Lepisosteus oculatus: one gene and its partners. The protein of the gene in region 4 purifies or fractionates together with the protein of the main gene of each other region. This does not show direct contact. Links are inferred from orthologs where the notes say so. Each region holds a gene or a part of one and is shown on either strand. Other genes may lie near its edges. The genes, in order: gtf2b, med1, rprd2a and polr2g.

Evidence for each region.
Region 1: the proteins of polr2g (region 4) and gtf2b purify together in Homo sapiens (affinity purification with mass spectrometry; 3 studies listed by BioGRID and IntAct, with this or other methods). This does not show direct contact. The link is inferred for Lepisosteus oculatus from reciprocal best matches to the Homo sapiens genes POLR2G and GTF2B.
Region 2: the proteins of polr2g (region 4) and med1 purify together in Homo sapiens (affinity purification with mass spectrometry; 3 studies listed by BioGRID and IntAct, with this or other methods). This does not show direct contact. The link is inferred for Lepisosteus oculatus from reciprocal best matches to the Homo sapiens genes POLR2G and MED1.
Region 3: the proteins of polr2g (region 4) and rprd2a purify together in Homo sapiens (affinity purification with mass spectrometry; 3 studies listed by BioGRID and IntAct, counting the BioPlex papers as one, with this or other methods). This does not show direct contact. The link is inferred for Lepisosteus oculatus from reciprocal best matches to the Homo sapiens genes POLR2G and RPRD2.

Annotation. Positions count from the first base shown.
Region 1 is NC_090704.1:1,108,641-1,116,348, forward strand, and holds the start of gtf2b (transcription initiation factor IIB), read right to left. Parts: upstream 3,007-7,708; 5' UTR 2,917-3,006; coding exon 2,900-2,916; intron 702-2,899; coding exon 595-701; intron 1-594. Other genes in the region: kynurenine--oxoglutarate transaminase 3, read right to left, coding at 4,500-4,565, 5,212-5,298, 5,496-5,569, 7,100-7,286. UniProt on the Homo sapiens protein: General transcription factor that plays a role in transcription initiation by RNA polymerase II (Pol II). Involved in the pre-initiation complex (PIC) formation and Pol II recruitment at promoter DNA.
Region 2 is NC_090723.1:5,851,317-5,858,650, reverse strand, and holds the start of med1 (mediator of RNA polymerase II transcription subunit 1), read right to left. Parts: upstream 3,011-7,334; 5' UTR 2,916-3,010; coding exon 2,795-2,915; intron 1,480-2,794; coding exon 1,373-1,479; intron 597-1,372; coding exon 518-596; intron 1-517. Other genes in the region: cdk12 (cyclin-dependent kinase 12), read left to right, coding at 4,941-6,286. UniProt on the Homo sapiens protein: Component of the Mediator complex, a coactivator involved in the regulated transcription of nearly all RNA polymerase II-dependent genes.
Region 3 is NC_090722.1:7,118,640-7,125,645, forward strand, and holds the start of rprd2a (regulation of nuclear pre-mRNA domain-containing protein 2a), read right to left. Parts: upstream 3,006-7,006; 5' UTR 2,866-3,005; intron 2,168-2,865; 5' UTR 2,010-2,167; coding exon 1,832-2,009; intron 1-1,831. Other genes in the region: prpf3 (U4/U6 small nuclear ribonucleoprotein Prp3), read right to left, coding at 5,544-5,693, 5,782-5,843, 6,019-6,099, 6,200-6,318.
Region 4 is NC_090713.1:22,714,385-22,721,690, reverse strand, and holds the start of polr2g (DNA-directed RNA polymerase II subunit RPB7), read right to left. Parts: upstream 3,014-7,306; 5' UTR 2,871-3,013; coding exon 2,859-2,870; intron 2,269-2,858; coding exon 2,159-2,268; intron 2,063-2,158; coding exon 1,903-2,062; intron 1,590-1,902; coding exon 1,539-1,589; intron 1,400-1,538; coding exon 1,334-1,399; intron 1,215-1,333; coding exon 1,143-1,214; intron 1,056-1,142; coding exon 1,022-1,055; intron 295-1,021; coding exon 281-294; 3' UTR 1-280. Other genes in the region: pld7 (5'-3' exonuclease PLD4), read right to left, coding at 4,122-4,327, 4,580-4,679, 4,842-5,147, 5,236-5,439, 5,519-5,646, 5,754-5,868, 6,401-6,584, 6,920-7,161. UniProt on the Homo sapiens protein: Core component of RNA polymerase II (Pol II), a DNA-dependent RNA polymerase which synthesizes mRNA precursors and many functional non-coding RNAs using the four ribonucleoside triphosphates as substrates.

The DNA of each region.
Region 1 (7,708 bases), on a different chromosome or scaffold from region 4:
AAGCCATTCCTCCAGATAGTGGAAGAATATCTGATCCCCGACACCACTGACCGCTCGTGTCAGCTCACCTGGGAGAGCCCTCCTGACACACCTGCTCTGAGCCGCTTTGGGCAGCCATGATGGTCAACAGACACCCAGACAGTCAAAAGCACCAATGCTTAGTATTAAAACAACCAGGATTCCCTGAGCTGCAGCACACAACTGGCTGACCAAATGTTGATTTTAAATGATAAAAAATAAACCACTTAAGAATGAAATGACTTCAAACCCCAGACCAACAGATTTTTGACAGTGTGCCCAGTCGAAGAGGACCCGTGACCCGAACCGCTGATATAGTCAGCCTAAATCTAAAAAAAAAAAAAACGCTTAGTCATGGTTAGAAGATGGACACATTCTGTTCTCCAGTTGGCGGATGTAGCTTTCATTTTCCTGTACTGCCTGAATCCGTGCGCATCAAAACCCAGCGCACCAGAAGTGATGTCATAGGGCCGCGGCAGTCAAGTCAAAGCCTGTCGATGCCCGAAAGCCTCTTTACTGTGACAGAGCCTGCTGCTCTCTGGCTTCCGAACGACGACGCGCGCCTCGCTGTCTTACCCACAACCAGTCCGCACTCGGGGCAGATCATGTCTCCGGCCCGGTAGTCCTCCACCAGCATGGCATCGGGGTGGTTGGGGCACTGGACCTTGGGAAGGGCATCTCCACTGCGGAGAAGCAACCACATGTCAGACCAACAGAGAACCCGCTGGAACACGCCGTTACCACATGTAGCAGCACCGCCACAGCCAGAACATTTCAACACGCAGTGGTCTAGCAGGTCTTCAACAGGGAACACTTCTGTCCCTGCCCACTAACGAAGAGCGACAGGGTAGCATTGCCTTGAGACGGAGGTTATGACAGGAAATTCCAGGGAAACTTCCAGGTAGCAAACGGACCTCAGTGCTCGGCCAGGTGTACCTGCGCAGGATTGACCGCCGACTTCCCAGTTCGGTCAGAGGCGACGGTGCTGGAGTTCAGCGCAAGTCTGATAGAGGCCCAACTGTACAGCACCAACTTGTAAATGAGGCCGAAATTATAAACGCTTTTGAAAAACTTCAAGATGCTGTGCCAGAAACGAAACGTAAGTAGCTTAATTTTTGAAGTTTTGTTGTGAAAACCATTCTATTGAAGTTCAAGAAGGTGCACGAGCTGCACGAAAAACTTGGACACAGGGTTTCTATAAAGAAACTTTTAAAATGATTCCTGACGCATGCTGCCAGTATACAAAGTCTTTTAGCTTATTAACAGCTGTACAACTATCTAGAATTATTCTTATCGATGTAAAATGTGTTTCTGATTAAGTGCAAAATCTCATTCCTAACAATTTGACAGTGATGCAACTAATGTGTCTGGCTCTGCCATCGTGGACTGACTACGAGCTTCATTACTTAGCTGATAAAACAATTACCCTAGTTTCCCTGCAAAATACTCCTAGAACAAAAACTACACAGCATGGCTTTCAAAGTACACTGTGTCCTACTGCAGATCAGAAAGCCAGATATGACCAGAGAATTGTTTAGCAGCAAACCTTTGGAAGAACTTCAGAGCCGATTATATTGTCCGTGTTGTTTTTTGTAAACATGCTGGCTAACCCAGATGATAGTTACAGGCTTTGTAACAGCGGGAGTCCTATCAAAGGACGACTAGTGTAACAATGACACACAAACAGGTGAGAATAAGGTCTATGAAATCGACAAGTAGTGGAACAAACTGTTCCAAACCTCCATGCTATTTAAACCAAGCGCAGGGCGTACAGTTCCAAGACAATTCGTCCCATATTTTCACTTCTGCACATCCATCCATGTTTTAACCACTTTATCCAAGACAGGCTGGCAGGGCAGCCGAAGGCTATCCCAGCAAGCAACAGGCACAAGGCCAGATACACCCTAGACGAGACGCCAGTTTTACTCAAAAGCCAATTAACCTACCAGCATGGCTTTGGACTGTGGGAGGAAATCCACATGAACACGGGGAGAACATACAGACTCCACACAGACAGCAGCCCGGGGCCCCAGCACCGCTGGCCACTGCGCCTCCGTGGCTTTTACTTCTGAGGTTTCCAAAACCCACACTGCTGCGTAGCGCCGTGCATCGTGAATAAGAACGGAATGGAAAGAGCTCACGTTCCGTGTTTGAACCGAAGCCTCCCTCTCGTGAATAAGCTCAAGCTAGAAATATGCTCTTTCCCGAAACTATAAAACACGTCTGATACTAGAGAACACCTGCCGTCAAAGCAGGTCAGAAGTGAAACACAGGGGCACCGAGAGCGCTGGCGGGGGGGTGTCTGTACAGCGGCGGTGTGCTGGGGGGGGGTGAGTGGGGCCCTGTCGGTACATCAGCTCCGGTTTCGATTCTGTCATCGCTCTCCGCTCCCCCAACTCGCACCCCCGCCGGTCATCTCACCGCACTGACAGCCGGACAGCCTGCCCGAGAGTGAAATCAACGCGCATCCCGGGCAGCCGCGGTGCGCACCACGCAGGCAAGCCAGACAATAGGCGAGCCGACGCGCACGGAGGGCAAGGCAGAGATTAAGCCAACACGCCTCAATCCCGCTCGCCACGCAGTTTCGACCAAGCACCCCCGTGTGCGCGCCCACGCACACGCCGGGTCCCACGGGCAGGTTTGTTTCAGACACAAAGAGGGGATCAAGCGGCCCCGGCGAGTCTGCTGACTGTTCACGGCGCCCCCAACACGCCTCCGGCTCACCCCGAAACGCAGAAAAAACACCCAGTACCGCCGGCCCCCCGTTAATGGCACCCCTTCCGAGCTTGTTTTCGATACTTTTATCTCCCCCCCCGCCCCTGTCTTGTTTACCGCACAAGACCTTAGAAACAACAGAAACGTATGATTAAAAAATACCAACCGGCTAGTAGACGCCATATTGCCTTCAGTCGAGCTCACCAACAGCGACTGCGGACACGCACTGCGCCCCACCTCTATTTATAGCTTCGCTCGTCACGTGCCCGAGAGCGTACGGGCAGCCGAGAGGCCCAAACTTCATACACGTCCTTAATCACTCCCTTTGTCGTGCAAATTTCCAAATAAAAAAAAACATCATAATTGAAGTTTCAATACCACTTCCATTTGCATGTAATACAAATCTGAGACTTTAAACTCCAAATGCACGTCATGAATCCTGCGCCATTTTACCACTTTGACTTTTACGGAATGACAGGCGGTAGGCATACAATGAAGGTTTTTCATTTCGTACGTGAATAAAAATCTTTATTTTTTCATTTTTTACCGCATTTTGTCCAAAGTACATTAACTACTTTAATTTATTTGACGCAGACAATACGATCAAGTACGCTGCTTTGACTTTCGAGTGACTTTCTAAAAGGCAATAGAAAGATAAAAATAACGAATGGAACGATTAAAATAATTCGCAGACACAGCTAAAAAAAAAACAAACTTTGACAATAAAAACTTCATAACGAGCAGAAATTATTTTTCACTTGCATAGATTTAGTCAGGGTAGAGAAGGTTTTAAGAAAAAAGATTTCAAATATCAAAATACTCCGAAGGTCCAGGCGGAGGTCTGTTCCTGCGCCTCGAGCCTTCTCAGAGCTCAACACGTTTCAGCTCCGTCGGCACACAGACTCAAAGACACGGCAGGAGCGACACATTTCAAACCCCCTCGCTGCCCAAACCGTATCTACGGTCCTTCTCTTCCTGAATGCAGAGGCGGAGCGGTGGCTCTGTGGCTCAGGATCTGCGCCTGTGGCTGGAAGGTTGCCGGTTCGTATCCTGCGGCCAGCAGAGAAATCCTACTCTGTTGGGCCCCTGAGCGAGGCCCTTCACCCCAGCTGCTCCAGGGGCGCCGTATAAATGGCTGACCCCCAGCTTCTCTCCCTGTCCATCTGTCTGTGTCTCATGTGAAAAGAAATTCCTGATGCAAGAAATTGTATATGGCTAATAAAGTGGTCTTATCCAACTCCAACAAGCTTTTCGTAAAATTTAATTTAATCAGTCTCTCATAATAAGATTGCTGTGATAATTGTGTAAATAACTCTGAACTGACGTTTCTTTTTATTTCCCATTTTTAGGAACAGGAAAGCATTTCAACACATTCTTAGTTTCCGACAGATAAGACCTGTATATTAAATGTCCTTTAAACGGCATGAGGGTGAGATACGAGCTCCTCTCCAGGAGAAAACCACCTCACAGGACAGAGATAACTGCAGGGACCTTGAGGAGAAGACAGGGGAAATGCCGAACGCAGGATAATAAAAGACTTTAAGTAGCACTTGCAGGAAAAAATGCTTTAATGGTATAATGGAAAAGGCCACTGCATCACACAGAAATACTCAAACCATCACGGTAATAAACTTGGTGATGCAAAACAGCAATACTGAAATGTTTCAATTAGCTCAAATTCAACGCATCATCAAATTCAAAACGTAACATTCCCTGCAAGATAGCTAACACGGCGCCGGGCCAGGGCCAGGGCCAGGTCTTCACTATCAGACAGGCGCCGCTCTGTTCCAGTTCTTAAGAATCTCCTCTGCTGCATCTAACGTGTCGTCTCGCTGCAAAATAAGGGAAAACAAAAAGTCAGCGCAATGCTCAAACTCTACAAAACTCGCCAGCGGGATCAGTATCCATTCATTTCAAGCTGGCCTAAACGGATAACTGGAATTCAGGTGATCAGCTGTACTGTGTCAGTCATATTCAATACAACTGGCCTGGGCCTGAAGTCCTGACAAGCCATGAGCAGGGCCACCATTCTGGTGTCCCCCAATAAGAAGAAATACGGCCATCATGAAGGTCACTCAGCTTTGATTTGCCGTTTTACACACGGCACGTTTATTGTGCTTAAACTGCCTGCACACAGCAGCCTTTACCATTGCTACCATTTGCCTTCAGACAAAAACAAGTTCCTGTCTTGGCATTTGCCTTTAACGTTTTTTCAAACCTTTTTTAAACAGAAGCCTGTTTAAATTTAAGTTCATCCTACAAGAGAGGTATGACCGTGAGAAAGCAAGGCCTTGTCTCGTCTTGCTCGGCCACCCTCAGGGAAACTCCCACTGCCCACAGGCCAGTCTCAGCCCGGCCACAGGAGACCACGCCAGGCAGCCCATCGCCTGCAGGACAGGCGTGCTGCCAGCAGGGGGAGACTTGCTCGGGACACCCAGGGAAAGATGCCTTCATAAAGGCAGAAAAGCAGCAGGCTACCTTGATGAAACAGAATCGGATGTATTTTTCAAACTGCTTCTTAGACTCTTCTCCACAGAAGGCAGTCATTGGAATAGCTGCGAGTTTCTGGAAGAGAAAAGAAAAAAAAGTCCAGAAGGGCCCCAGGTTTCTGTGACTCCAATAACATCCTAATTGCCTGCTCATGCGGTAGGGTCTGCCTCATCTGATTTGTTTTGGGTATGGGCACTCACTGCCGCTGTGGAAAACTCCCACAAAGCACACACTCAGCACTCCCCAAGCACAGCAGGAGGAAAGAGCTGTACCTTTTCCTTGATCATCCACTTCACAAACTTGTAGTCGTACGGCTCGTCGTCTCCTGCGTGAGACAGGTCCACGTCTGCGCAGACAGAAAACATTGTCACGCTCGGACACAGGCTCTGCAGTGCTCAGAATCCACCAGACGGCTCACGGACAAGAAGAAGTCATGCAGGCCATTTCTCTCTAGTGTATCACGTTTAAGGCGAACGGTCATTGTGCAGAGCACATTCCTCACACCAATTTCTTTACACTTCCATACTCTTGGACTACTTTTCTGCACACTTCTACCCTCCCACGCTGTGAGCAGGAATGCTGGACAGGCAAGGGAAGTCAGGAACTAGAGCCCTGGTGGTGCTGTGATGTGCTCTCCATGCTCGATACAGATTAGCCGTCTGTCCCAGCCCTCGGACCACAAGTACAGTTTTTAACTCTGGGAAAAAATCACTATGCTACTTATTAAAATTAAAACAAAACCCTTCATCACTACACTACACTGACAACAGAACACAAGTTGCTGTGCATTACTGTTCCTTCAATGTGTAGAATAAGGAGTCCTGTTTGATGTGAACAAAGTCAGCGTTGTGACACAGTCCTGTCAGTACGCAGTGTCTTGAACTGCGACAGCTCTTGTCTTTGCTGGACAGAAGAGCTCATTGTCTGTTTTCTTCACACTCATTGCCTTCTGCCGAGATCAGTCTCCCAGCACCACTGGGCTCTTCAGCTCTCGTACCAGGGCCCTGCCTCCCCTCTGTGAGCAAACGCAGTCAGAACAGGGCCCAAACACTGTCATAGCTTTTGTAAGAAGAACAGATTAAAGGCGGCAGTGTGGCCCGTTGTGTTTGCTGCTACTCGTAACCCGTTGGTCTGAGGTTCTCAGCCAGCTGTCCTGTGTCAGAACTGTTGGAATCAGTTTAAATGGGCAAGGGGTTCCAGTTCCAAGCACCCACCACCCTTTGTGTAGAGACGGGTCTCCTGATCTGTCCCCTAAATGCACATAATTTCCACTTGTGTCATAAGATTTTTGATTCACTGCTGATTAAATGTTTTACCCATCACATGTCTAATGTACTATGAAGCTGAGGGGGAAATATGCTAGCAGTGTATGTAATCCAATTCCCTCTTTTCACTCACTAAAAATGACATACAAATATCTGGGAAACGTGTGTGTAAGGGGCTCACACAGACTGCGAGTGCAAGCTCTTTGCCCTAGAGGCTCTAGAGGTGAACTCACGGCTCACACCAGGGCCACAGTGACTCACTGGGACAGAGCTCATCCCAGCTCCTGTAGTGTCTACTGGTCTGGAGTGCTGGCGACTTCCCCCAGCACGGGACACTGGTCCATCACAGGGATGACACCCCAGCAGTACCGGTGCCCAGTTATACAGCTGGGAGGACGGGAGAAACTGGGCTGAAGTATCTCACTGAAGGAACAGCAGTGTCTGCAGCAGGGACTCGAACCCACAACCTGTCTGTGATGAGCCCAAAGCCCCCCCCCCCATGACGACGTGGAAACAGTGGCCCTCACTGATCTGCGGCTATGTGAGCCTGGGACAGTTTTCCAGAAGGGCAGGACACGTTCCCGAAAACCCCGGTGGAACAGCCGACTCACCCAGCGCAGACACGTCCGCGAGCATGAAGTAGCCGCCTTCGGGAACGACGGGTCTCATGCCAGCGGATTCCAGGATCCCGGCCATCCGATCCCTCTTGCCCTCCAGCTCGCGGGCGAGAGACGAGAAGTAGCAGTCGGGGTCACCCATGCGCTTGAAGTCCAGTAGCAGGCCCTGAGCCACGGCCTCCTGCGGGGCAGACATGGGGCCTTCTCAGTCGCAAGAGCACAAAAATCAGTGCAAGGCCAGATCACTTTCCCCTTCATCCTCCCTCAACTGTCCGACGGGAGCACTGTGGTCATAGGCGGAAACACTGAGCAGAAGTACAATAAAACCGAGAGGAGGAGACGCTTCCCTACACAGAGGGTGGTGGGAGTGTGGAACAAGCTGTCTGGCCAGGTTATTGAAGCTGACTCGACGCAATGGCTGCACGGGATCGATTCCAGTAACTACTAACTGCAATACCACATTGGGCCAGGTGGGCTGAATAGCTCCCCTGATTTATAAACAGTTTTTCTCATGATGCCACTAGGGGAAGAACGACTGAGGGACACGACCTGATTTTCTACAACTCGCTTGGTGTGATGTCTTCAGCGGCTCATCATGCTGTC
Region 2 (7,334 bases), on a different chromosome or scaffold from region 4:
CACACCAGCCGACCCCGACCCCTGGATCAGTTCGTCACCTCTGCCCATTCCTCCTTCCCCGATAGCAAACCCACTCTCGCCCGGAGAAGGCTAACATCGAGCGGTTCTTTTCCAGTCCAGGCACCCAGATTTTACCTGGACCTCACTGGGAAGAGATGCAGAGCTATAGAAGGTAAAGGGAGTCTGCCAGTGCTGGGCTGTCCCCTCCTTCACAGCGTGTGGTGTGACTAACGGACTGCATTTCCTTGGAGTCTGAATACCTCCTGTACAGCTCTGTAGAATTCCAGAGATATAAACATCTTTTTCAAAACTCTTTAACTATCATAAGCTTGGAAAGAAGGAATTCTGAGATGGCAGATGAAGGAATTCACACAGGTGCACTCTGCTTGACCCACCACGCCCTGCCAGGGCCCGCTTCTGGGCACTGTTCTGTGCAATGCCAGCTGTGTGGTAACTTGTACCGCTGCCCTGATCAGCTCCACACAATCAGCCCTCCCCCACACCCCAATCCCCTCACCTTTCAGGGCTCTCTGCAGCGTCTCCAGGCAGGTGAGCAGGAGCTGGTGTCCCCCAGCATTCAACACATTGCGCTTCTCCTGGGTGGCGGGAGAAAGAGAGATTGAAGGCCTATTAAAATGCACACAATACCCCTGTAATACACACCCCCTGACTGCACTAGCATGACCTTCGCCCTTCTGTACCAAGTCCTCCCAACATTTCGGGCTGACCCCCCCAAGAGCAGCGGGTCCTGAGCCCTCTATCTCCCCCACACTGCTCTCCCCATCCTGCCCCATCCCTCTTCTCTCTCCCTGCTCCTGCTCTCACAATTTTCTCTTATTTGATCTGAATTCTAAGATACAACTTTTGCTTTTTCAACGTCTAGTTTATATCCAGATATACAACCATATTTCTCCAGGAGGGCCTCAAAAAGAAACTGGCTAACCACAATCTAATAACAGTAATAACTGTTCAAACTGTAATATATATAATATAATTATACTAATACTCGTCCAGACTAACCAAAATTGCTCTTATCTTTTGAGCACTGGTGTTTTGTAATGTGAAGAGAATGTCTAATGTTGTCAAGAGTTTGTCTATCCTGAATAAATCCCTTTAGATCTAAATTCATGAACAGAGAGAATATTTGATCCAATCTTCAGTACATGATTGATGCGACAGTCCACATTGAGCAGTGAGCTCTGGGGGAAAGACACACATCTAGCCTGGCCTTTCTCTTCTTTGGAGATTGACTTGAAATCATGGTTTCCTCCCAGGAAGGGGGCAGGTCTGCTCCGGTGCCCTCTCTCTGCCCCCACTCCCCCCCGCATGTCCTGGTGCCTTTATGAGCTCCACCCTCCTCTCCCTCACTCACCATAGCCTGCCGCACCACCTTGCTGGTCTCCTGCCATGGCCGGGAGGCGCAGTGTTTGGCATGAAGCCTCTCCAGTAGGGCACCGACTCTGCTCTGCTTCTCTGCCTCTGAAGGGCGTAGAGGGCACAGGGTTAGGAAGACACACAGAGCACTCTCATAGGGAACAGGGCAACACACACACACAGAGCACTCTCATAGGGAACAGGGCAACACACACACACAGAGCACTCTCATAGGGAACAGGGCAACACACACACACACACACACACACACACACACACACACACAGAGCACTCTCACAGGGAACAGGGCAACACACAGAAAGAGCACTCTCACAGGGAACAGAGCAACACACACACAGAGCACTCTCACAGGGAACAGGGCAACACACACACAGAGCACTCTCACAGGGAACAGAGCAACACACAGACAGAGCACTCTCACAGGGAACAGGGCAACACAAACACAGAGCACTCTCACAGGGAACAGGGCAACACACACACAGAGAACTCTCACAGGGAACAGGGCAACACACACACAGAGCACTCCCACAGGGAACAGGGCAACACACACACAGAGCACTCCCACAGGGAAAAGGCAACACACGCGCACACACACACAGAGCACTCTCCCAGGGAACAGGGCAACACACAGAGCACTCTCCCAGGGAACAGGGCAACACACGCACACACAGAGCACTCTCACAGGGAAAAGGCAACACACGCACACACAGAGCACTCCCACAGGGAAAAGGGCAACACACACACAGAGCACTCCCACAGGAAACAGGGCAACACACACACAGAGCACTCCCACAGGAAACAGGGCAACACACACCGCTAGGCATTTGGTACACAAGGCTACACAAAACTGACAAACTTATCTCAGAGGAAGAACAACAGGTATACTACATACAGCTGTAAAAGCCGCGGCAACCCACTGGCACGGACCCCAAAACTCCCTGCTCCGCATGCAGGGCGATTTACAGCGTTATGGAAGTGCAGATCAAAGAGCTTTCAGGTAGGGTTTCAGGACCACCTCAGCACGATGTGACACTGTTATGATTAAGGGTATGTCTCAGAGGAGCGATCAGCCAAGATATGCGTAGATCCAAATGGAAAGCAAACACGCCTGACATCAAAATGAAATCAAAAACTCATAAAGGGGGAGGAGATCGTCTTATTTATTTTTTTGCAATTTCAATAATTCAATGACTCTTTTCTTTGAAAACGAAAAAAGGCGAAAAGGTATATAAAGGTGATTTTCACTGGCTCCGGTCCAACCCCTGGCGCTCCATTCATAATTTCTAAATAATATTCTCAAGATCTCAACGCAATACAGTAACAGATCAGCGAGAACGCGATACTGTAGCTCTGCCGATCTGCTGTCGACCCCCGATTTCCCCCGTGAGCACGTCATTACCTGTCCCCTCCTCAGGTCTGGGACGATCCCCGATCGTAGGGGGCCCAACGGTCGGTGCCCCGGGCCCGAGTTCTCTCGCTGGGCTACAACCCGATATAACAACCCCAGAAACCGCCGCCATTTTCAATATAAAAATCTTCCGTCGCGCAGGGTAGAGTTTCCGACAAGACTGCCGGGGGCGGGGGGGCGCGGGGTTGTGGCGTCATCAGGAGGCGACTCGGACCGAGCAAACGAGGGTGGAGGTGCTGTAACTGCGGATCAATCGTTTTTCTGCTTTGAAGGACTTTTCTTCAAGAAGCCCCCGGCGACGATAAGGACGTGGCAGATTTTATAAATAAAATCTAATCTGTGTTGAAAGCCATTGCAGATGCTGCTGCTGTTAGTTCTAAAATAATAAAGGCGGAGCTGCAGATCCAAAGATATACCGTGCGTGTGCTATCCGATGCAGTCTGGTTTCTTACTGGGGATCCGGCCGGGCATCCCCCAACAACCTCGAGAAACGTGGCTGAAACCTGTCTCCGGTCCGAAGTAGTTTCAACTTTTCATTTGTTCTTCAGGTGTGTTGGTTGTGTAGAATACAACGTACTAGGAAACGTTACGTGCTTGGTCTTCTGAGCGTTACAAGCGCCAAGAAGTTCTGCAGAGAGTTTTGTTCAAAGAGTAATGATTTACCTATAGAACAGGAAGAATTAAGTGACAAGAGCACAACGGATAATGCATCAATATATATAATATTGCGTAATAAATATGTAATGAAAGTACCGTACAATCTAAGTTCAGCTGACTTTTATCGGCGTTTGCGTATTTAAAAAAACGCCTCTCTCTGGTACCTTCTTAATTTAAAAGCACAAAGTGTTTATGGATTGCGTAATTGATTATTTATATGTAATAAACATTTGTGCTGTGCGTTCCATCAGTTACGGACGTCTAAAAGCAAATAGTGTTTTACTAGTAACGTGGTTTTGTGTTGTGGCAGACGTTACGTATACCCATTGATAGCCTACGTAATTTATAAAACGATTTCGAGCACAAGGAGGTTCTGCTGTCCGTTTAAAGATTAACACGTGAGCTGGTTACATCTGTGCATGGTTTGTTATAAGGGCGAACAAGTTCCCGTTTAAAAACTTGCACCTCAGTGCATTTGAACTTTTCACAACCTGTGGAGTTTCTCCGGTCTCTTCGTGACGCGCCACCTAGAGGTTAATTGGTGGCACTGCAGCCCGTGAGAGGATAAGGGCGGAGCGTCGCTCTGGAGAGGCTGTTGCCCGGTGACGACGAAGATTGACAGCAAGTGAGACTTCCGGCTTCGGCTTGGGGGAGAGAGAGCGAGGACAGAAGCTCAACCTGCTAGAAGGAGCCACAATGGCGTCTGTCCTCTCGTCTTAGCAACAGGGGCAGTGGGTGTTCTAAATCCGCAAACATCGCCCTCAATACAGGCCTGTTAGACTCTCAAGGCCGTTCAAAATAAACTAGAACATCTGCTGCACACGAATATACTGTCATTTCTGACCAATATCAAATATAAAGAGATTAAAAGATTGTCTATATAAAACCGAACATGTAAACAGTACCAACCGGTTCAAGTTTTCATTTTCAGTTTTGTGAAACAATATCGCCCATTCATCATGGATTATGCCTGTTTCCGAACTCCAAGACCGTAAACTGAAGGAATCAAGGCACCTTCCCTGAAGCCTGCTACAGGGCGAGGGGGATAACCAAAAGAGGTGTTGTTTTTTTTCTTTTTGTTTTTACAAAAGAAAAAATAACAGCACAAGTAAAACTGAGAAACGAGGAGAGAGACAGCACGATTGTAACGACTTCATTTAAACCAAACCTCTGCTTGATTTAATCAGCTATGAAACTACACGCTCATCCGCCTATTATGTCTATTTTTCGTTTTGTTTCTTCGTAAAAAAAAAAAAATCTTTCCTTTGAAGGAAAACCAAAACGCCGGACCCAAGCCGCGCTGACCTAGCCGGAATGAACTCGGATTAAGCGTTCGGGACGGAGAACACGATCTGAATTTTTGTTTTTATTGAATCTTTTTTTTTTTCCTGGTGCTTTTTTAGGTACTATTCGCCCTTTAATGCATCGCCTCGGCTGCAGAGGCCCGCATTTGGGAGAAGCGCCGCTGCTAGCGTGAGGGATGCCCGGTTCAGACAGACAACATGGGTCGACCAGGAGGAAGCCGGATCCCAGCGCCAGCGTCTCACTGCCGCCCGGCAGCAACAGCGGGGCCTTCCAGCACCTGCTCCCGCCGCACTCCAGCGCCCAGGCGGGCTGCGTGACGGGGAAGGACGGGAAGCTCATCGCGTCGTCTTCCTCCTCCTCCTCCTCCTCCAAGCGCCGGCGGCACAAGTCCTCCAAGCACGGCCGCGAGTCCTCCTCCTCCTCCTCCTCGGCGCTGGGCCAGGGCCAGGGCCCGGCCGCTGCGTTCGCCACCCTGGGCCCGGCGGCGGCGGCTGCGGCGCCTCCAGCCGTGAGCGCCATCAAGCCGCTGGTGGAGTATGACGACATCAGCTCCGACTCCGACACCTTCTCGGACCCGCCGGCGGCGAGGTCGGCGGTGGACCGGCGAGGCGGGGAGCGCCTGGACGGCGGCTCGGACTACGGTAAAGGGGGCGGGGGCAGCGGCGGGGTGTCCGGGGAGAGCCGGGGCCACAAGCACCGGCACCCCCGCAAGAAGTCCAAGGACCCTCACAAAGTGAAGGACTCGGGTGGTGGGGGGGGTGGAGGAGGAGGAGGAGGGGGGAGCTCGAAGAAGAAGAGCAGCCGGGACAGAGAGAAAGGGACGTCGGGGAAGAGCGGGAAGGAGAAGACATCTGCCTCCGCCTCGGCCCCCTTCAGCCCCGGCTCCACCAGGCTGGGTCTGCTGGAGGGGGAGGTGGGGGCCAAGCTGGCGTCGTCGCTGCCCTCCTCCGCGGCCCAGGCCCTGCTGGGGACCGGGACCAGCACGGCCTCCTCCTCCTCTTCCTCGCGGAGCAAGGACGGGGGCGGCGGCGGCGGCGGCGGCAGGTCGGGCAAGTCCCGCAAGGAGAAGCTACAGCGCCGCGGGGAGCGGGGGGAGTCCCGCGGCTCGTCCCAGAAGGACCGCCGCAAGTCCTCCAAGAGCTACAAGGCCAGCCCCAAGGGCAAGCCCTCGTCCCGGGGCGGCGCCGGCGGCGGGAGGAAGCAGGCGGCCGCCCCGCAGTCCCCCAGCCCCAAGCGGGGGGCCAACGACAGCCCCCCCGGCGGTGGGTACGGCCCGGACGGCGGAGAGGACGCCTACCACCACCATCACCACCACCACCGGCGGCGGGCCCCCCCGCCGCAGAGCCCCAGCCCCTACCGGGACTCGGGGCGCCGCAGCCGGCAGCGCTCCGACAGCCCCTACGGCAGCCGCCACCGCTCCTCCAGCTACGAGCGGGACAGCAGCCCCTACCCCAGCAGGAGGCGCTCTTCCGTCAGCCCCTACGGCAACCGCCGCTCCTCCAGCGCCAGCCCGGTGTCACGGTGAGTCCCGCGCCACGCTTCTGGGGGGTGAGGGTCACGGGTGACCCGAGAACTCAGGTTGGAATTTGTGGTGAAGAAGGGGGTGAGAGGCTCGGGTTGGATCCGACCCCCATTCTCTTGAGTCCTTCTCCGGCCTGCCAGGTCCAGTGCTCTGCCCCACAATGCAGGGCAGATTGACCCTAACTCTCCGGCCACCCGTCAACTCCAAGGGGAAGCTGCCATCAGGGCTGCCAGGTCCTCATAATATTTGGGAAAAGGGCTCCTTCCTACAGGAGAGCTGCTGATGATATTATTGGCGTGTCTTAAGTTCTCAAGAGGATGTAGAGTAGACCAAACGGATGTATATCAGTTTACTGACGTGAAATGAGTGTGTATACCGAGCTGATCATGTGTAAATCTAGGGTGTGTTGTCTACTTTCGTAGCTTCTGAAGGCTCAAAAGGGCCTTCAGAGCGTTCTGCGCACAGGAGCGCAAGGTTTCGGAAGGCCCTGTATGGGGCTGGGGGCAAAGTGTGGATTTGTAATCCTGGGCGCAATTTCTTCCTCATTTGCCCACAGCAGCTGTCTGTTTCCTGAGGTAGGCCAGAGCAACAGTCTTTCACTTTTCTTGTTTGGCTGTAAGTGAAAGCACCAGCACAGCGCTTCAGTAATTTCGGAGGCCGCAGTGTGCTGCACAGAGCTGGAAAATGCAAAACGGCAAGACCAGCGTTCTGCTCACCAAGTGTTGCAGTGTCAGTCCTCTTTCTCGTGTAAAAGTGTCGTGTGCTCGCTCAAGATGGCAGCAGGCCATCAGTGGTTGCATCTAGATTGTGTTTTTTTTCAGTTTTTCAAATTATGCTTTCAGCCCTTTCTCCATCTCGAAGCAGCCGGGAAAGGGTGCAAAAAGTCCTAAGAACTCTGACTAAAAGGCAGAGCTAATAACAAACTTGTAATATTGATGACTGGCATGCTGTAGTTCCCTTTGATCAGTGCCAGCAATCAAAACTGTGATAGTGTTATTCTCTGTAAGGGTCTAAACTTGGGGTAGTTTTGTTTTGAGTAAAGAGCTG
Region 3 (7,006 bases), on a different chromosome or scaffold from region 4:
AATCTCCGGGCTCAAGCAGGCTGCTTCCGATGAAGACTGTTCCCGCCTGTTACAGCGTCTACACCAGGAGTCGGCCACCTACGGCACCGGCACCGGCACCCAGAGGGGCTTTTAACAGCACGAGCGAGGAGAGCAGCGCATGCAGTACACATCTTTCAGAAACCAAGCTAAAACAGTGCCAAACAGTGCGCTGGGCTGTGCTGCAATTCTCCACAGCACGCCACCCAAGGAGAGCAAGACGATTCACTTGGTTTCTTTGCTGCATTATTTGTTAAGGGGGGGGCCGCCTGCTGCTTTCACAGGAAAAGCCGACATCGCCACGCGAACGAACGCACCCGCCCTCCGTCCGCAGGGTGCCGATCGGACCGGCAGGGGCCTTTTCAAAACACTGAAGCCGGTTCTTCGCGGGAGACGGCCGCTACTTCCAACATCGTCAAGAACGAGCCGTGTTCCAAAGTTTGGAGTCTACCTGCGAGAAACGGCAGGATTTCCAATGTTTTGGCCCGATGTTTTTTTTTCTGGTTAAACCTGACGGATTTGCTACCAGCAATACAGATATTTCCCCAGCAAGGATCACACTCAACGGTAAGAGGCGCATTTAAATGTATTAATCTTCACATATAACAGCCAAAATCCAGGTTTTATTCATCAGAAGCAGAGCTATTACTGACATAAATTGAAGTGTGAATGCCAACTCCCACTGGGTCAGATAACCTGGGGAAGGTTTGGAACAGAGAACAGGCAGCGATTCTTTAGCCCAAGAGTTGTGGGAGAGTGGAACAAGCTGCCTAGCCGATACCCTGGTGTTTCTAAAGACGCAGCTGGGTGAGATCCAGGGATCCAGTTTGTAAGCTGCCTCCTGTTGTGTCCGCTCCTCCTGGGAGCGAACCGAGCACGGCCGGACCCAAACGGACCGGGCCGGTCCTGGCCGGACCCGGGAAGGCAGCTGGCGTGCTATGGCCAGGGTCTACAGAACAGGACTCCCCACACAGGACCCCAGACCCACCGCAAGGCCCCCCGACAGGGCACTTCAGCAGCCACCCAGAAACACCCTGTGCGCCGCAGGGCCTCCGAGAGCAACACTGCAGGACCACCACCAGGGAGACACAGGGGGGCCACAGGCCGGCCCCCCCAAACCAGAGAGTCACACACAGGTGGGCCACAAGCCGGCCCCCCCAAACCAGAGAGTCACACACAGGTGGGCCACAAGCCGGCCCCCCCAACCAGAGTCACACACAGGGGGGCCACAGGCCAGCCCCCCCAACCAGAGTCACACACAGGGGGGCCACAGGCCGGCCCCCCCAAACCAGAGAGTCACACACAGGTGGGCCACAAGCCGGCCCCCCCAACCAGAGTCACACACAGGGGGGCCACAGGCCACAGGCCAGCCCCCCAGAGAGACACACAGGGGGGCCACAGGCCACAGGCCAGCCCCCCGGAGAGACACACAGGGGGGCCACAGGCCAGCCCCCCGGAGAGACACACAGGGGGGCCACAGGCCACAGGCCAGCCCCCCGGAGAGACACACAGGGGGGCCACAGGCCACAGGCCAGCCCCCCGGAGAGACACACAGGGGGGCCACAGGCCACAGGCCAGCCCCCCGGAGAGACACTTTCCAACAGCTATTCCACCTCCCCAGCACACCTGAGCGGGCGGTGGGCTCCTCAATGACACCGCACTGCTGCTGCAGAATCCCACCCAGCCCACAGACACAGCGCCAGGCCTGTGCGCACACCGCTCCCGGCCCAGCGCCCGTCCCGCAGACACGCTCGCCGATGGAGAAGCGGGGGACACCGCATTATATAACCCCGGCCAGCCCCGGGATACTCACATTTCCGCAACCACTTCATCCAGTAGCGCACGATGACGGCGTTGTGCTTCTTGTTCTCGATACACCAGGTCGACAGGCTCTGGATGGACTCCATGGTGTTGGAGACACCCTGGAACTTGCGGTCCAGCGAAGACTCCAAAGCCGAGGAGCCCCGGCCGCTGCCTCCGCCAGCCGCCATCTTTCTCGCACTCAGTCGGCCAGGCTGCTCGGGAGCGCGCTCGGCCGTGGGCGACGGGAACGCGCGCTTCACCCGGTCACAGCGCCGCCGAGCGGGGACGCGCGCCCTCTCTCCGCCAGTGGGGGGCGAGCCTATGCCTGTTTGTGTCGTTTCACCCCCTCCCCAAAAAAAAAAAAGAAAAGAGAGAGAGCGGCCTGAGTCCGAGCGATTATTAATGAGTCCCGCACGGCGGTGGGCCCGTTCCCGGCGCTCAGGTCGTAGCGGGCTCTTTCCCGCGCGCGGCCGGGTCGCCGTGGACTCGAGCCGTTCGTTTTTTTTTTTTAAAAAACAGTCTCGGTCCACCCGCTCGTGCGTCACAGAACGCGCCCGATACAAGTTCTGACGACTGAACTGCAGCGCGAGGCTGACAACGCCGCACGTGTCTCCACTTTATACCCTAAAGAGCGACACGGCCCCTCGCTGCCGACATCACCAGCTATGGATCCAGCCGATATCTGTCGATATCCTGTGCCGCCGCCGCCGGCGGGAGGGAGGGAGCCGGGCTACACGAGCCCCCCTGCCCGTCCTCGAGCCCAACCGTCACCTCTTGCTCTCCTACGGACGTCACCGAGCGCTGAGCGCCTGTGACAGACGCCGCCTCAGCGCGTCGGTTTGTTTCTTTAAAACGCTGTTAAATGTTTTTTTTTAATGGGGTAAGAGTCACTCAGAGAAAAGACAAGACTCCACGGAGCTCGCAGCACCGAGACCTCCGAGTTCGCTTAAGGAACCCAAAACAATGCAGTCATGGTCTACTGTACAGATAAGATCGCTACACCAGTTCTCTCTCGATTTATTTGGCATTTTTTTATTTTATTACCGATTCTTTGCTACGACTCAACGCTCTTACTCCTCCGTAAGTTTATTTTGCTGTGTCTCGCGTTTGAGGCGGCAGACCAGTTCCACATCCCAAACAACACGGCTCTCCGCCACCTTGAGCACTTTCCCTCTCGGCGCCGGGCGCGCGCGCGCGCGTCCCCGCTGGCCCGGCGGCGCCATTCCGGGAGAGAAGCGGGGGGGGACCGTTCAGACTTGTCAGCTTCTCTGGAGACATCGTTTGTCTAGCCCCCCTCCAATACAGGTTTCCTATTATAAAAGAGAAAAATAACAACACACCTAGGCTTTATTAGTATTTCTACTTAAAATGTGATGGCAGCCTGCATCTGTTTAATTTTATACGAACCCATGTCAAAATAGTACCTTCCAAAATGTACGGGTCACGTTTAGGGACATTTTATTCTGAGAGATTCGCGTTTAGTTCAAGCCTAAAAAAACGACATCAATACCAAGAAACAAGTAAATGTTTATTCCATGCTGAAAAGAGGTGTGTTTCTGCTGCGACCCTCCATGTCTTCCGCATGGAATAAACCTTTACTTGTCCCTTCGCAGCTTACGCATGCTGAGGCAGCTCCCTACTTGAACTTCATCAGAACTAAGGCTGCTTTTCAAAACTCATCGAAATGTCAACGGATGAATCCGTGTTACATATCGGCTATTAAGATCGCACGGTGAAGACACCTGTTAAAACCGATCTACCTATATATTTAAACTATTATTGCAAAATGACAACTGTACTGGGACTGTAGCTCCTATTGTAACAGGACTGTTCTACTGCACTGGGACTGTAGCTCCTATTGTAACGGGACTGTTCTACTGGACTGGGACTGTAGCCCCTATTGTAACAGGACTGTTCTACTGGACTGGGACTGTAACCCCTATTGTAACGGGACTGTTCTACTGCACTGGGACTGTAGCTCCTATTGTAACAGGACTGTTCTACTGTACTGGGACTGTAGCTCCTATTGTAACACTGTTCTACTGCACTGGGACTGTAGCTCCTATTGTAACGGGACTGTTCTACTGGACTGGGACTGTAGCTCTTATTGTAACGGGACTGTAGCCCCTATTTTAACAGGACTGTTCTACTGGACTGGGACTGTAGACCCTATTGTAACAGGACTGTCCTACTGCACTGGGACTGTAGCCCCTATTGTAACAGGACTGTCCTACTGCACTGGGACTGTAGCTCCTATTGTAACAGGACTGTTCTACTGCACTGGGACTGTAGCTCTTATTGTAACAGGACTGTTCTACTGCACTGGGACTGTAGCTCCTATTGTAACGGGACTGTTCTACGGGACTGGGACTGTAGCTCTCCAAGAACACATGATTAGTCAAACAGGAAAACATCTCAACAAAAACAAAGAACCCAGCATTTTTTTCAATTTTTATTGTTTTTGTTCAAAATATGTACACTTTTACAATGTCATTCCATTGACTGTACAGAGCAGTCAGTCCACAATAATAATGGTGAAATGTGACAACAGATAGACAGAAACGACTGTAACGGTCAACTCTCAGAACAGGATTCAGAGTTCTCCTAGCACTACGCTGCCAGACTGTCAGTGCACAGCAGTCTGATCCACTCCAGGTTTTACAGTACTGCCAGTCAGACTCCCAGTGCACAGCAGTCTGATCCACTCCAGGTTTTACAGTACTGCCAGTCAGACTCCCAGTGCACAGCAGTCTGATCCACTCCAAGTTTTCTTATCCACTGCAGGGCTCTTGTGCAGATTGTTACTTACAAAATAGAAAAACAAAGATATATACACACAGTATTTAATATTAACTCGATATATCTGATGATGAGCTATGGTCTCAAAACAAGGCAGCAAGCATCACATTTGCAGTCCTGGTAGTGATTCTGTCCCCCAAAAAATCCTGGAATGGATTAGACTGCAGCTAGTTGAGAAAATGGGAAGGATCAACTCTAATAATCAACTCCTTGTGGTCTCCTGCGTTGTCTCCCAGTCTCTCCAATTCCTGTTCTCAATCCCTCACTTATCCCAAGTATTCCTAGTCTATCAGTCCTCAGCAGTCTTTCCAGTCCTCCCAGACTGTCATGCTCCAAATATTCCCAGTCTTCACTGTCTCCCAGTCCTTCTCTATCCCAGTCCCTCTGTCCCCCAGCAGTCCTAGTCTCGAAGTCCCCCGTCCCCCAGCAGTCGCAGTCTGCCAGTCCCTCTCTCCCCAAGCAGTCCCAGTCCCTCTGTCCCCCAGCAGTCCCAGTCTGCCAGTCCCCCTCTCTCCAGCAGTCCCAGTCCCTGTCCCCCAGCAGTCCTAGTCTCCCAGCCTCTCTGTCCCCCAGCAGTCCTAGTCTCCCAGTTCCTCTCAGCCCAGCAGTCCTAGTCTCCCAGTTCCTCTCAGCCCAGCAGTCCTAGTCTCCCAGTTCCTCTCAGCCCAGCAGTCCCAGTCTGCCAGTCCCCCTCTCTCCAGCAGTCCCAGTCTCTCTGTCCCCCAGCAGTCCTAGTCTCCCAGTTCCTCTCAGCCCAGCAGTCCCAGTCTGCCAGTCCCCCTCTCTCCAGCAGTCCCAGTCTCTCTGTCCCCCAGCAGTCCTAGTCTCCCAGTTCCTCTCAGCCCAGCAGTCCTAGTCTCCCAGTTCCTCTCAGCCCAGCAGTGCTAGTCTGCCAGCCCCTCTCTCCCAGCAGTCCCAGGCTCTCAGTCCTCGGCGGTCTCCAGCACAGACTCGCTCAGCGCCAGGTCCCAGTAGTGCTCCGTGCCGTGCTTCCTGAAGTGCTCCCGGGCCATGTTCTCCGTGGGGCACTGCTTGAACTTCATGTCCCCGAAGCTGCGCTCCTTGGCCGTGCCCTGCGAGAGGGGACAGGGCATGAGACAGGCCGGGACTCCGGGTCTGGTGCCGACGGGAGGACAGACGGGAGGACAGACGGGCACTCACCTCCCAGACCAGAGAGCACTTATTCTTCTTCTTCAGCCCCTCCTCGTCCGAGCCCTCGGCATCTGCAGGGAGACGGAGCGACAATCAAGGTCACACCGTAGGGAGACCCGAGAGGCACGAGGACAATCTGCACAGACACAGCGCCCCTTCACCTCTCTCCCCTGTCCCCCTCTTCCCGTCCCCTCCCCCACTTCCTCTCCCCTGTCCCCCTCTTCCCTCTCCCCTACCCCCGCTCACCATCCCGTTTGGAGTTTGTCTGCTCATCCCACTTGATCCGGTGAAGCATCAGCCGTTTGAACTTCTTCTGCGCTTTGGGACCTGCGGGAAGGAGAGACGGGGGGGGAGATGAACTCACTGGTCACTGGCCGACCGACTGACCGCCTGCCCCCCTTGGGCCGGGAGACGCCCCCCTGCTCACCTCCCTCCACCACCACGATGTTCACGTCCCGGTGAAGGACCACTGTGCCCGTCAGGTACAGCTGGTTGGCGTTCGCCTCCACCTTGAACTTCTTCGCGGGGTTCGTGAGGTTTCGGATTCTGCGAGAATGACAGTGTTTTAAGAGACAGTCCGTTACAGTCACCTGTGCACTCACCTGATCTCCTCCTCTCACCTGTCCCCCTCCTATCCCTCCTCTCTCACCTGGCCCCCCCATCTTCCTCCCCCCTCACCGGGCCCCTCCTCCTCCTTCACCTGGCCCCCCCATCACCGGGCCCCTCCACCTCCTCCTCCCTCACCTGCCCCCCCACTCCTCATCCCTCCTCCTCCCTCACCTGGCCCCTCCTCCTCCTCCCCCCTCACCTGGCCCCTCCCCCTCCCTCACCTGGCCCCTCCTCCTCCTCCTCCCTCACCTGGCCCCTCCTCCTCCTCCCTCACCTGGCCCCTCCTCCTCCTCCCTCACCTGGCCCCTCCTCCTCCTCCTCCTCCTCCCTCACCTGGCCCCTCCTCCTCCTCCTCCTCCTCCCTCACCTCGCCCCTCCTCCTCCTCCTCCCTCCCCTGGCCCCTCCTCCTCCTCCCTCACCTGGCCCCTCCTCCTCCTCCCTCACCTGGCCCCTCCTCCTCCTCCCTCACCTGGCTCTCCCCCTCCCCTGGCCCCTCCTCCTCCTCCCTCACCTGGCCCCTCCCCCTCCTCCGTCACCTGGCCCCTCCCCCTCCTCCCTCACCTGGCCCCTCCCCCTCCTCCTCCTCCCTCACCTCACCCCTCCTCCTCCTCCTCCTCCTCCTCC
Region 4 (7,306 bases):
GCACTCCAGCAAGAACCTGCTGAGTCACCTGCAGGGGCAGGGGCAGCCAGAGAACGCAGCTCTCTCGGCCCGCAGTCTGGGGAGAGCTGCACCCCCAGACTGGTTCGTGCTCCGGAACCGTGACACCCTGACCCCCCCCCCCCGCAGGGGCCGCAGAGTTGGGGCGCAGCTTCTCGTGGGGGTGCTGCGCTGTCGGGGTTCGTGTGGGGGAGGTGGGGGTTGATGCCAGACACTTATAAAAATAGATCTCTTCTCTTCTCCAGTTTCCTCTGCAGCAGGATCAGCTGACCAGGCCTGGAGAGAGACGGAGAGAGAGCGATCATTCCTTCATTCAAGCAACAGTGAGGTTCATCTTTAAAGGCCAAAACACTCCTGTTACACTGGGGGCTCCAGTCCAGTAGGACAGTCTGTTACACTGGGGGCTCCAGTCCAGTAGGACAGTCTGTTACACTGGGGCTCCAGTCCAGTAGGACAGTCCTGGTACACTGGGGGCTCCAGTCCAATAGGACAGTCCTGGTACACTGGGGGCTCCAGTCCAATAGGACAGTCCTGGTACACTGGGGGCTCCAGTCCAATAGGACAGTCCTGGTACACTAGGGGCTCCAGTCCAATAGGACAGTCCTGGTACACTGGGGGCTCCAGTCCAGTAGGACAGTCCTGGTACACTGGGGGCTCCAGTCCAGTAGGACAGTCTGTTACACTGGGGCTCCAGTCCAGTAGGACAGTCTGTTACACTGGGGGCTCCAGTCCAGTAGGACAGTCTGTTACACTGGGGGCTCCAGTCCAGTAGGACAGTCCTGGTACACTGGGGGCTCCAGTCCCGGTCCAGTAGGACAGTCCTGTTACACTGGGGGCTCCGGTCCAGTAGGACAGTCCTGTTACACTGGGGGCTCCAGTTCAGTAGGACAGTCTGGTACACTGGGGGCTGCAATCCCAGTCCAGTGACACTAGGGGGCGACAGTGACAGACAGCACACAATGCTGCAACACTAGTGGCTGGAATGACTGACTGAAGGACTCACCCAGATAATCATCCATCAGGGATCCAATTGCAAACTGAAAGAGAAAAACAACATGAGGGAGGGAGTTACCGGGAGCACGAGAGATGGGGGGGAGGGGTGAGAGAGAGAGAGAGACACTCACGATGTCGTTCTTGTCCACTCTCGTCCCCACAATCTTCAGCCGGATCTCGTCGTCCTGCTGGATCACGATGTCCTGCACGGGACAGACAGACAGACCGACCAGCGGCGGGGAGTCAGAAGCTCTGCAATAGCGGGCAGCGAGAGAGAGGGGGGGGCGGCGCCTCTCCTTGTTAAACCCAAGCCCAGACTCACCTCGTCCACCGTCTTGTAGCAGGGAGGGTTGGAGTTCGGGTCGAATTCCATCTCTGAAGGAATGGACTGTGAACACAAGAGCAACAGTTACCGTCCTGCAGCGCCGGAGGGAGAGCTGGGACAGACTTCCAAGTCGCAGCAGAGAGGGAAACAGGAAGCAGGGCCGAGCATCGGGACTAGAGAGGAAGAGGGGTCCGGTACTCACGTGACGAGAGATGAAACACGACATTGGTCCAATTTCTGTGAACAGCCCCACCTAGGAGATGGAGAGACGGGTTGTCAGGAGGCCGTCAGGAGGGTAGAAAAGAGGACAGAGAGAGAGAGACAGGCCATTAGGACGATTGAAGAGAGCAGAGAGAGAGAGACAGGCCATTAGGACGATTGAAGAGAGCAGAGAGAGAGAGACAGGCCATTAGGACGATTGAAGAAAGGGGAGAGAGACAGGCCATTAGGACGATTGAAGAGAGCAGAGAGAGAGAGACAGGTGATTAGGAAGGTAGGAAAGGAGAGATGGATGAGAAGGGGAGAGAGAGACAGGCCATCAGGAGGTCTCCATGCTCTGTCCTGACCTTGTTGACCTGAGTGACCACAGCATCCACCACCTCTCCCTTGAAGGGTCGGAACACGATGGCCTTGTACTTGACCGGGTACAGCACGAAGCCCCTGCCAGGCTGGATCACGCCGGCGCCGATGTTGTCGATGGTGGTCACAGCGATCACAAAGCCATACCTGCCACAGAGACAGAGAGAGGGGGCCGTCAGCACCTGCGCCGCAGGGAAGACCTGGAGCGGAGCGGAGCGGACTGCAGCGATCCCGCTCACTCACTTGCCCGTGCAGGTGCCCTCCACCTCCGTGAACAGCTTCTGCTTCACCGTGTTCAGCAGGTTGGGGCCGAAGTACCGGGGGTGGAGCAGGATCTCGTGTTCCAGGGAGATCTGGGAGGGAGGCAGGCGTTACAGAGCGGGAGACCAGGGCACCTGCCCACTTTTTAAAAATAATTGTTGCACGGCTCTTCCACAAGACGGTCAAACAAGGACGCGACATCACCTCAGCAGGTGCTGGAGGAGGCAGTGATTAATCCTCTAAACCTCTGGTGTGAGGTGCGCCAGCTGCACCATGTGACCAGCGCTTAGCAAGTTCCTTGTATTTACACCGCACTTTCCCCAGGAGTCTCCCCAGACAGGAGAGACCCAATTCACCGCCAGCTGGGAGACACATAGCGGATCAGGAGGATAGAGAAACTCATAAGCAGGTTCGGTGAAATGAAGCATTCCCATTTCTATTTCTAAAAATAAAACCTTTCACATTGAAACGTTTGTCGACAGGCAAGAATGGAGACGCGTTCACTTGCGCACACTTAAATATGTTTATTTCTGTCAGTCCTGCTATAAAATATTCCGGCAAAGACGAACTTTGCACTTTAAAAATGAAATATGAATATTCTTGCGTTTCTGAGCCCAGCGTTCTCCCCCAGTCAGAGCCGCCAGGCTACGTGACCGCGGAAATTAACGATTCAGCTACTTACGTGATAAAACATCGTGTCCCACTTCCACAAGGAGAACCCCTTTAAACCCAATTTAATTACACAAATACGAATATAAATAAAGCAACAACGCTACAACACGAATGAAGCGCCGACGCTCACTCCGCCTTTCCGTTTCCGTCTCAGCATTTCTACGTCATCCGAGGGGGCGGTGCTAACACTGGAGTCCTGGAGCGCTTTCACGTTAGTCTACATAGAGGGCCCATCTAGGGAAATATGTTATGCCTTATTTCTTCAGTTTATGTATTACCCACAAACGACTAAAGCCGTAAAACGTAGAGCATTATCAAGGCTCATGTGAGCAAGTATAATTAACGCGTCAGATGGGTAGAACTGTAGGCGTCTGAGGCTGACCTGAGCCCTCTGTCCACAGGCCTGGCTCTCAGGTCAGGCAGTGAGAGGGTGGGTTCCGTCACCGACCCCAGGGCCACCCCAGCCTCCACCGTTCCTGTTCACTCTCCACAGCCACACCGTCTTTCCGAGTACTGAAGGCAACTTTATTTAAAAAAGGCTTTACATGGCTTTGATAGGTGTGTGCATACAAGAACCATCATATACACATATCATTTGGCAACAGAAAATATAAAAATAATTTAAGAAGGATGCAAGGCAAAATAAGATCAGCGAGGACGCTGCTATATTCTTGTAGAGGCTTCATTATGGCTTTGATCCACTACCCAGGCAGAAGCATTCACACCGTAAAATAATCCTAAACCCATTCCTAAAAAAATAAAAATCAACATCGAACAAAGCTCTCACTTCAAACACGCTGCGGTACGAACATCTACAGCTGCAGCTCACTCAGCATTTCAGAACAGATTAGATCAAAATCAACCCCCCCACCCAGGCAATTTCTTTTATTACTGAAACCCTCCCCCATGCCCACCTCCCTCAAGGTGGAGAGAGAACAGCGCAGCCCGACCCGACCCGACCCGACCCGAGCCAGTCCAGGGCCTCGTCTGCGAGGGAGGACTGGTCCAGTCAGAGGGAGCCTGGGACACACACACTGACTATCCATCCTTAGGACCTCGTGGCCCAAAGAGTGTGTGTCCCAGACTCCCTCTGACAGAAGCTCCACACACACGGCTATCAAGCGCGCCCCCTGGTGTCCACTCTCGCTGACAAGGACTCCAGCGTCTCTCCTCCGTTTCAACTTCAGGCTTTGGCTGTGTGGCTTTGGCAGCGCAGGAAGCTGCTGCAAGCAGACGAGCGACGGTGCCCCCCCTGCCCCCCAGCTGGGCGGGGCTATGCGCTTTCCCGTGCTCCGCAGAGGTGGGCGGGCTCCGAGGAGAGGGGCTGAGCGAAGCCGGAGTCCCAGTCCCTCTCGAACACGGCCTGCAGGTCACTCTGGACGCTGCGCTTGCCTGCCCCGGCTGGAGCCCCCGTCTGGTTCACCACCAGCCCCACGCCCGCCGTGTGGGTGAAGTAATTCTCCGACCAGTTGGATGTCCCTACGCGAGGGGGGTAGGGGGGAGAGAACGGGGCACCGTCAGTGTGGTACAAGGCTGAGCGTGACGAAATGAAAAGTTGAGAGGCTGGCCTGCAGGGGGGGGAGGGGGGGGCAAGGCTAAGAAAGGGCAGGGCTGTGATAGGGCCAGCCTACGGGGGGGAGGGGTTAAGTGAGGCTTGGCTCAGGGCAGGGCTGTGATAGGCCAGTCAGCCTCAGGGTGGGGCGGGGCTCAGCGAGGCAAGGCACTGCTTACCTATGTACGCGACTCTGTCCGTCACCATGTACTTAGCGTGGTTCACCCTGGCGTAGGGGATCATCTTCTGCTCCTCGGTGGAGGGCACCTCGAACACTTTCTACAGAGACAGAGGACAGGACGAGCACGGTGAGGCCCCGGCCGGGGAGGGGGAAGACCGCTCGGACAGCGGGAGAGAGAGAGAGAGAGAGAGAGAGAGAGAGAGAGAGAGAGAGAGAGAGAGAGAGAGAGAGAGAGAGAGAGAGAGAGAGAGAGGACTGACCACGTGCAGCCGGCAGCTCAGGGGCGGGTGGTTCGGCACGCCGAGCGACTCCAGGAAGACGAACATGGGCTGGTCGGAGTGCGGCCAGCAGCTGACCAGCAGCCGCACCTCCACGCCACGCGCGCACGCCGCCGCCCGCAGCGCTGAGTCGATGGGCGGCCAGAACTGGGCCGGCTCAGTGTACTGGGAGGCCGGCAGGAAGTCCATGACCGAGACGTAGACGAAGCGGCGGGCGTCCGAGATCACGCCCAGGATGGCCGAGAGGTCGTCCGTGCGGCCGTCCGCGGACAGCGGCGGGGGAGCGCTCTGCGGGGGAGTGGGCGGGCAGAGAGTCAGGAGCAGCATGCACACAAATTCAGTCACGCACGAGCGCTGTCCGACGGCCGGCCCTCACCGACAGGTAGACCTGCGCCGGGAGCCCGTTCAGCTGCAGCTGCAGGGGGCGCTGTGCGCTGGACAGAGCGCTGAGGCGGCGGGGCCAGCGCGCGGGCACTGCGCCCCCTGCTGGAGAGCCCAGGAGCCAGTACGCCTGGAACAGCCGGGACACGTCTCTGGCCAGGCAGCTGCAGTTCGTCACCGAGACGGCCAGCTCCTTCACCTGCGGGAGAGCAGACGGCCAGTTACAGAGCCGGTCTCCTGCAGGGGGGCGGGCAGGCCATGAGCCGGAAGGGAGGCACCTGTGTGAGGGAGCGCCAGTCCATGTTGGCACTGCCCAGGTAGGCGTGCTGGCCGTCCACCTCCCAGAGCTTGGTGTGCAGGATCCCCCCGGTCAGGTTCTGCAGGTAGACCGGGCGCACCTCCGCGCCTGCGCACACAGAGAGGGAGAGGGAGGGACAGGGATCAGACTCGCGCAGCCTTCCCCCAGGGGCTGTGAGCAGGCTTGGGGGTGGGGTGCGGGGTGCGGCCTCCTACCTGCGAGCGCAAGGTCGTCCGTGTCCCTGGGGTACGTCTGGGGGCTGTTGACGGCGATCCTGAGGCCCACCCCTCGAGCTGGCAGGCCCCTCAGAGCCTCGAACACACGCTTCCCCTGCGCCGCACACACACAAGGGACAGCTCATTAACCTTCTGCCCACATGACTAGTGCAGCTGAAAGTCTTTCTTTCTCTCCAGTGCTCCGAGCGTCCGAGCCCTCTCCCTGCCTGCCCTCCAGCGCTCCGAGCCCTCTCCCTGACTCACCTCCAGTGCTCCGAGCCCTCTCCCTGCCTGCCCTCCAGCGCTCCGAGCCCTCTCCCTGACTCACCTCCAGTGCTCCGAGCCCTCTCCCTGCCTGCCCTCCAGCGCTCCGAGCCCTCTCCCTGACTCACCTCCAGTGCTCCGAGCCCTCTCCCTGACTCCCCTCCAGTGCTCCGAGCCCTCTCCCTGACTCCCCTCCAGTGCTCCGAGCCCTCTCCCTGACTCACCTCCAGTGCTCCGAGCCCTCTCCCTGCCTGCCCTCCAGTGCTCCGAGCCCTCTCCCTGACTCCCCTCCAGTGCTCCGAGCCCTCTCCCTGCCTGCCCTCCAGTGCTCCGAGCCCTCTCCCTTCTCCCCTCCAGTGCTCCAAGCCCTCTCCCTGACTCACCTCCAGTGCGCTGGGCTCGGAGGCCTCCAGGTCGGTGTCCCTCAGTGTGAGGTAGAAGGCTGCGATGCTGACGCTGTGGTTGGCTCTGTGCAGCAGGTCTCTCCAGGCCTGGGAGATGGGGGTCAGGCGGGGGGAGCCAGGGGGGTACTCCAGCCCCTCAGGGAGGCTCTCCAGCAGGGACAGGCTGCACCAGGAGGGACAGAGACTGACACGTTCCAATCTGCTGATTTCAGTATCAGCGGCAGCACGATCTTCGATATTTTTAACGGATTTACAATTATACTGCGTACAACGGCGACTGGGACTCTGTGGCCTTCCAGATAAATGCCATATCAGGTCATTAGCACAGTAGCACAGACTTTCCACACACGCAGCAAGAGTCACCCAATTCTCTGACAGCACCCAGGTCTGGATCCGCAGAGAAACAAGGGCCACAGGCACGTCTTCACACAGAGAGTGGTGGGGGTGGGGAGCAAGCAGGATCCCTGGGATGTGGAGGCAGCGCCCGCGCGTCCCTACCTGCAGTCGGAGCCGCAGGCCTCCTGCCGTGCCCACAGGTCCCCGGCCCACAGCCAGTCCAGGTCCAGCGGCGCCAGCAGGGCGCCGGCCAGCCCCGGCCTCCCAGAGGGCCACAGGAACAGGCCGCCCCCCCCCAGCAGGAGCAGCAGGGGGGGGAGGAGGCAGAGCAGGGTGGAGCAGTAGCGCCGCAGCTGCAGGGAGGGAGAGAGCAGGCCGGTCAGCCCCTGCTGAGAACCAGTCTGCTGCAGGGAGGGAGAGAGCAGGCCGGTCAGCAGCTGGGCTGGTCCTCTCCCGCCCAGCCGAGAGCCCGCGGCCTTCAGCAGAGCTACAGCTATTCCAGGTAAAGGATCTAGTTGCCCATTTGGACAGCTTCAAAGATTGCTCAAA